Macaca mulatta: one gene and its partner. The protein of the gene in region 2 interacts with the protein of the main gene of each other region in a biochemical or structural test. Links are inferred from orthologs where the notes say so. Each region holds a gene or a part of one and is shown on either strand. Other genes may lie near its edges.

Region 1 (3,829 bases), on a different chromosome or scaffold from region 2:
AAAAAAAAAAAAAGAAGCATTTAATATTTGTACTGTCTAGAAGACATGGATTAAGGAGTAAAATCAGCATATTTTGGAAAGAGAGGGTGGAAGGAAGGAGAAGGCCCTGATTCTGCAAGTCATGTCAAAGACCCAGCTACCAAGGGGCTGAGGCAGAAGAGGTGGGGTGGGTGGGCGTGGATCCCGGTACCTGATAGGCTTCATCCTGCAGCTTCTGTTTCAGGTATTCCTCCATCTTGAGCTCATTCTCCAGCTGCCGGACAGAGTCATTTTCGTAGTTTTCATCCTCAGGCCGCACATAGGGATCTGCATCCTCCGTAACCCTGAGAAGAAACCACAGATGACATTTTAGAGTGAATCTTAAAAGAGAATTACAAGTGGGATTCGTGTGTGAGCTGTAGTTTATTGGCACCTTTATTTCTCCTTAGTTCTCCAAGTCACTTTCATGTCTTCTTTAGTAATACCTAAAGAAAAACTTGGAAACATTTTGGAGGTTGGAAGCAATATATGATCAAGGTATTTTCATACACAATTTTTTTATGGCAGTTGTGGTCATAGGTCATCTCTTTTTTTCCTAGGGTTTACTGAAATGGGTTGGCCCTTTAAATGTTCTATAATTTAAAAAATGGCAAACATCTTTTGAGGGGATACAAAGTTTTCCCAATCAGAGGGCTCTTTTTATTCTTCTTCAAAATAGAACCCAAGATCACTTTCTGTATGGAGAGTGAGCCCTCTAGTGAAGTAATGCTTAAGGACATTTGGTTTTAATTTAGTCTCTTTTGTGTTACCCACACATGCACATACACATATGAATGCACACCACATTCATGCCTTATTTTTACAGAATTAAGTCTAAGAACATCAGCTAGTCGATGCCAGGAGGGCTACTAACCCATAACTCTTGATCTTAGCTCTAAATATGAAAAAAAAAAAAGCATTTTAATTATCCAATTCCACTCTGAAATAAATAGTTAAAAATGACTTCATTCCCTGATGTGGGACTCTGTCTCCATCTATTCATCCTAGACTATGCAAAGCTCTTCATGGGGCTGGACGTAAGCTTGCTACCTAAATCAGAGGACTAAAGGATTCTCAGGGTAAGACACAAGGACATGTTTAGACAATAGAGATATTAAATTATTCCCTAAAATGAAATAAGTGGTCAAGAAGAAGTTTCTAGGCTGGAACTTGAACGTCGTTGTTCATGTTTATTTATAGCTGTACAACTTGTTCTGGTTATTTTTGGAGGTTTGGGGCCAGCCTAAATGGGTCTGCCTAGGCCTCTGTTAACTTTCCTTCCCTAACTCCTGACTCACATGTTGGTAGCTGGTACTGCCACTCAGCGTACCAGGGCTAGAAGATTAGGGTGGCCCCAACAGCCTTGGCCTTTAGAATTGGGACAAGGAAATTCTAGCTAACTGCCATATAAATGCTTAATAATAAAAAGTCAAATAGATACGCATTTACCAGACAAAACAGATGACAACTAATTCACTATTTTGAATAACAAATCCAACAATTCTAGAATACAGAAGAAAGGACAAGAAAGCAAACTCTATTAAGCAGCAGCGTACTGCCATGTTAAGTCCCATTATAATGGTTTTGTTTTGATCCTATTCTCTGCTGCTTCACAGCTGACTCTCAGACCACAGCTCTTGATAATTCTCCATGATTACTGATTGTTTATTCACTGCTGGGATTGGGAGCCAGACACCAGAAAGGCCTCAGGTTAGTTTCTTCTCTGAGTCTTTAACATGGCCAGTTTATTTTTATACACTAGTCTGAAGTACTTTTCGTATTAAGCAACACCACCCTTCTGTAGTATTTTTAGCGTTCAGACGCTCCCTCCCCCAGCTTGTGCCCACGTTTCCCGTAACTCCACGAACCATGGTCTCCTAACGGGCCACTTTCTTCCCTTCTTTTGTTTTCCTCCTTTCCCTCCCAAGTTGGGCTCTGCAGCTCTGTCCCAGCTTTGCCTTTGTTTCTCAGCTTTGGTTTTCTCTGCTGACTACTTTGAGCTGATCCAGGGTCACAGAAAGTCTAGTGGTCACAGGACGTCACTGATGCTGCTGGTTTCTGACAAGCTCCAGAACTGGGTGGAAACTTTCGCAAATAAGTCTTTAGAGGGTCAGATGTATACATATTCAACAAGTCAACCAAACTGGATTTCTTTATAATGAGATTTTATACATGTACTTATTTCAATTCCAAATACTTATATGATGTTGTTTACACCAATTCTGAACAGAGACCTCTCCAATGTCATGGTATCCTCTAAGTGCAAATACAATAAGTTCAGAAGATAGGATGATTTATCTCCTGAAGTAGTCTGAGTCCTAAAAGGGTGGCAGCAGTTTTTTAATACTATTTTGTATAGAACTAGCACTGTGCCTTGGGCAAGGCAGGCTCTTGATAGGCACTGGTTGGTTTAGGTTATTGATAACTCTCTGGAAATTGTAAGAGGGGAGATATTACAATGCCGAATTTATATGTAGCACCATTCTGTATCTCTGGCAGAAAAGAAAACTATGTCACCCCTTTTGAAGGTTAAAAAAAAACCCTAAACAATTATGCTTTTACTTTCTTATTGCCTCCTACGGATTGTTTTGTTACTGAGAAAATGCCTCCAAGCGGAAGATACTCACATGTCGCCACGCATGGTACTTGTGGTAGCTCCACTGTGAATATACCCAGGTTTTCGAGCATGGATTTGCGCTAGAAAAGCCTTTTCAGAGGTTGGTGAGGGAACAAGATCCTCAAACTGAGTCCGTGCAAATTCAGAATCCACATTACTCTCTGTTTCACTCCCAACCTCTAGCAGATACAATTGAAGAAATAAAGAGTGACTTGTTAGATTTTTTATGACCTGCAAATAAGGGAGTAGGCTTAACAAATCAACCTGTGCTGTGTAAAATGTTAACCAGTTATCATATTTTAATCAAGTACATTTTTATTTTTTCAAAATACGAATTGATATTGATGTGAATTACTACAAAATCAGTTGGTATACAGCATTTTTTAAATCTCAGAAATGTTATGAGGAATTTTTGCCATCTTAGTAACTGACTTAACTTTTTAAAACTTCTGGTTTTTCCCTTCTGTAAGAGACTTAACTAAAATTGTTACTTTTGCTTAATATTACACTAATTTAAGAAATATGAGTTAAAACCTAAACCTAACCATAAAGTATTCACCTAAAATGCCTCAAATATGAACTTAAAATATGAAGTGAACCCTATCACTTAATACTTTAAAGAATTATGGGTATAAACTAACAGTGCTTAAGACTGCTACACCAAGGATAACTTCATACTCATCATTTGCTAGGGGCGTGGCTACCTGCCATTAATCATGATGTATTAACTACTATCATTTAATTCTGTTTGGTAATCTTAATTTAAATTAGTAGCAACAATTTTCAATTGAGAGGCTTTAAGAAAGTTAAGTCCAGGATTTTTTTAATACTGAAGTTTTATTTCTTATAGCTGTTGTAATCTCTACCATAAGACCATAGTCTTGCCAGACAAATCTCTTGCTAGGTCGGCCTTAAGGAATAGACGGAGATGCATTAGTAACTGGTAGGATATTTATTTGCATATTCATACTGCTAAAGTTTTGAACACTCTTTGTAGTATTAGGAGGATAAAAAGTCTCCTTAAATTTTATGCATTTATTTCTGGGCAGATCTATCTTCAGAGATATTGCAAAGGTAAATTTCAATTTGAAATTCAAATTCAAATGATCAGGTGTTCTAAATTAATGAAACCTAAATAGATAAGGGCTGGAAATCCCAGCACTTTGGGAGGCTGAAGCAGGATGATCATTTGAG
Region 2 (4,466 bases):
CCCTGTGATTTGAATGCATATCAATGTGCGTATATATAAACATATATACGCATACCAAAATATTGTATTTCTCATATGTGTGATGAAATAAAGAATAAATTGATGAAAGAGTATGATAAATCATTTTTAATAAGTTAGGAAAATATTACAATAGAAAGTGGGAGGAGAAGGAAAGTTTGGGAAATCAGTTTGTTTTACTCTTGAGATAAAATTTTGATGAAAGATAATAAAATAGAATTTTGAAAAACACCTGATGTTTCCAAGGCAATGATTTTAATCTCTTTTATTAAACTACACAAGTGGTTAAAAACTTGACAATTTGTTTCATATATAGCAAATGACGTGGAGTACAGGGATTTCAAATGAATGCTATAGGAATAAAGAGGAAGCTGTATTAATATCTCTGCCCAAATGATGAATTTGCAATTCAGTACTGTCTAGCTAGAAGTGTCAACCAACACCTATTTCCCCTTAAATAATGTAATTATGCATAAAACACTTTGTAGTCTTTTTTAAAGTTTAGAATAACATCTATATGACATACTCTGTTGTATTTTTCATAATGTTATGCCATGTAAGATATACCAAAACTTTGTATTAACAGTATATTATCAATTTAGATCAGCGATCTCTTTTTCATAGTTAAGATGTCTTTAAAAGATTCTGCAAATGAAATTCTAAAAGATGATTTTGTTAGACCTCAAGATGACTTACATCATTTAAATATATTCAAATGAAATATCTATTTGCCATACACTATTTGAATAATTCTTTACAATGCATTATTTGAGTAATTCTAAAAGTAAACAATACAATGTGTTTGACAATACAGTGATCTCTTTTACAGAGTAACTATTCTGTTTAAAAAACAAAATGTACTTTTGTAAGTTTTTCAAACTAAGGCGAATTTACAAACCAGATTCAAATGTCAGACATCCAAATAGTAGTATATTGTCAAGCAACAAAATTTAATGTATAATATAGCCCTGAGTATATCTCCATTTTCCTTAACAAACTCATTGTCATGTTGCATAGGCATTACTTGATGATTTTTTAAATGCAGTGTGAAAAAATCCTACAGGACATGTTCCAAAAAGATTACCTTCCTTCACATTCGAAGAACTGAAAGTTTTTCAACTATCTACGACAAAGCAGAGGATAGGTTTACCTTGCTTCATTCCAGCAGAATTGCATATATTCTTTCAAAATTGCTCTATATACTGGTATATGTGGTTAATTATATAGAATATATATATATATATAAAATCACTAGCGATTTTGATAGTATTTATATTACATATATCAAAGAAATAAAAATGATAAATAAAAATATGTGTATATGTGTATATTGCAAACAACAGATATATGCCATGCATATTTTTGTAATGATAGTAAATATAATAGTTTTTCAATCTAAAAGCAATAATGATACTCACCAAAAGAAATTTATGAAGCAAGCAAACAATGTAACTAAATGTTGTATTATAAAATCTGGTAGCTTTTAATGTGACTCAATACATGGACAATGTTAACTTATTTCCACAAATTTTTCACAGTGGTAAAACGTCTGCCTTTTTTTTTTTTTTTTTTTTTTTTAGTAGTTGTGGAGCATTACTTATTTGGAGAGACTTATTTTTTCATTCTTAATTATAGGCATCGCTCTCATATCTATTTTAGAATAACTATACTCCACAAGTCAAAGATAGGTGGGGAAGAGATAAACTCCCATCTTTTTGGGACACACAGTCCTTATCATATATTATTTTACTGTTGTGCCACAGTCCATTTTTAAATCCTTCAATAGTCATCATGACTTTCTTAAAAATAAACAAAATAGTTGCATTTCTATATGGAAGACAAACAAAAAATTGAACTGAAAAGCTAGCTCATGATAGACTTGAAACATCTACTAAATATAATTTACTACTAAACATAATTAGGAGTTCCTCAAGTTTGTATGTTGTTTTCCCAAGAGATCATCTGATCATTTGATAGCATAGATCACATCATTATTTGAAATAATCATCATGGTATGCTATAGAAAAGAGCATTTGAAATAGTAAATGTGAGAAAGCAACATTACAATTAAATCTTTATCAATACTTTTCACATCCTTCAATTTTCCATCCCAACTCATTTTATTCTTTATTTTCTCCATATGTCAGAGAAACTTCTCCTAACTTTTAGGCCTCCATGTAGTTCCTATACAGTAGTTAGTTCAATTGAGAATATATGTCAGGTCAGTAACCTTTATGTAACTGTTACTAAATACAGAAGTATCAACTAGTCAAAATAATAACTGAGATATACAAACTATCTCACAGCAATCAAAATAATATGTTATAATCAAATGACATTCTGCATATTCTATTACTGCAGTGGCTTATTAATCAAGAAATCATGTGTTTAATTCTTCTGCAAAGAAAAACTTATAAACTCAATTTCTATTGAAAAGTTTTCCCAATGAAAAATATATATTCCTGAATAAATACATATATATATGCAGTATATATAACATTTATGCTTCTTTGCAAACTACTGTGATAATTTAAAATCAATCTACCTAATTAGTGAGTTTGTCACAAACTAAACATTATGCCACAGTAAAATACATTTTTAGTTACTTTGTACTTACAACAGTCCTCTACTTCTTCCCACCAAAGCATTTTGAAAAGTGTATATCAAGGCAGCGATTAAAAAAACCTGGTAAAGGTTCTTCAAACTTTATTGCTCCAGTAGGCTTAAAAACAATGAGAAACCAACAAACTTCAGCAGCTTTAAAAAAATAACACTTCAGTTTTTCCTATTCATTTTTCTCTGAAGGTAATTGCCTCTAAGATCTGAGTCCCGTAGGGGGAAAGTGAGTGATCCCAACACTGAGTGAGTCAACACAGTAACTGATGCCAGGATTCTGTAGAGGCCCCTGGATATTTCAAATTCCAGGACCTGCGCACAAGCAAGTGACCCGCCTTCTCTCTCAAGTTGGTTTCCCATAATAGGACTGTCCATGGTCACTACATATAAGGTTGTGCTTCCAGCATGGCAAGCTCTGTGAATTCAAATAAGCTCAACTGTGTTCTGATTAATATCCAAACCAGAATAGCACAGTGGACATAGTACTAGCTTTTAAAGCCTTCCAAACACAAAAACTATTCAGTACAAAACCATAACAATATTTTCTGTAACTTTCATGTGAATTTATAACAGAGCAGAAAATCCCGATTTAAAATTGACTTTTAAATGCCTTTTTTATCCTCTCAACAACACCAAAAATTTCACTCTACCAAATAAAAAGAAATGCCCAGAATAATCTATGCATTTGTTATGTATCCACTGCCTACCAAAGTTATTTTTTCCCCTTGAGATTTTTGATTGCAAAAGTCATGTATTGATGATGCCAACAGTCTGAATAAGAGAAGCAGCAGCAGAACACAGCAGCTGAATTCTGAAGGCAGAATGTGTGTGTAGGTCTCATGGGACATGTTTTCCTGCTAAAATAAAGAATATTCTTATAATGGAGCAAAGACATTTTTCTCAAATCCTAAATTTCAGTTGTGAATTATGATAAAACTTCTTTACTAACAAATTATTCTTTCTTCCATTTCTCTGCTGCCAATTCTTAAAACACCATTTTCTTAGACATTGAGTTAATGATCATTTAATGGTTCTGAATGCAGGCTCTTTTTTTTCTGTATTAAGTGAATGCAGTTGTATTATGTCATTCAGCATGTAAATCATTCTTTGCCAATAGAAGTCTTCTTCATCTTGTTCCTTATTACTTTTATGCAACAGGCGAGCCCCAAATTGATAGAAAACATTGGTAGCATTTTTTAAAGAAAGATATTCTTTTTATAGTTATAATAATCCCTACTAAAATTTTTGTTTGAGTGTTTTTATTGTACCATTTGTTAAAGTGACAGACTCATTTTTCTATGTCAAACATTCAACTGCTTGCGACTGAAATGAGTAATAGACAAAAATAAAAAAAAATTATAGAGTCAGACTGTGATGTTTACCTTAATAGTTAATTATACATTTTGCGTTTTAGAATATTATTGTCATAACATGGCTATTTTCCCCAGCAAAATGTGTATGAGATAAAACATAAGGCTTAATTTTAATTGAAAACATTCTTTTCCCTAGGTCACCTCCTTTCCTCTGTGTGGTTGTCTAAATATGCATATAAGCAAAATTTTCATAAAACAACATAAAAAAATGAAAACAATTGTTGTGGGGCTGATTTGGCTCTAAGTCTACATGTTAGCATCAGTGTCCCTCTATGCTATGAGGTACATTACTGCCCAGAGTATAAGTCCCCTTTATATCTTGTACTGTGAGTTTTCTACAAACATAAACCCTTGTTTAGGCCAAGGCATGAATACAATTTGCAGTCCCAAGCCAACATCAATATCACATGGGAACTTTCGAGAAATGCAAGTTGACACGAGACCTCAAAAGTCAGAAAT

What was found.
Region 1: the proteins of DMD (region 2) and DTNA form a complex in vitro, tested with the Homo sapiens proteins (3 studies listed by BioGRID and IntAct, with this or other methods). The link is inferred for Macaca mulatta from reciprocal best matches to the Homo sapiens genes DMD and DTNA.

The regions. Positions count from the first base shown.
Region 1 is NC_133423.1:57,583,818-57,587,646, forward strand, and holds part of DTNA (dystrobrevin alpha), read right to left. Parts: intron 2,815-3,829; coding exon 2,646-2,814; intron 324-2,645; coding exon 191-323; intron 1-190. UniProt on the Homo sapiens protein: May be involved in the formation and stability of synapses as well as being involved in the clustering of nicotinic acetylcholine receptors.
Region 2 is NC_133426.1:33,158,998-33,163,463, forward strand, and holds the start of DMD (dystrophin), read right to left. Parts: upstream 2,903-4,466; 5' UTR 2,667-2,902; coding exon 2,636-2,666; intron 1-2,635. UniProt on the Homo sapiens protein: Anchors the extracellular matrix to the cytoskeleton via F-actin. Ligand for dystroglycan.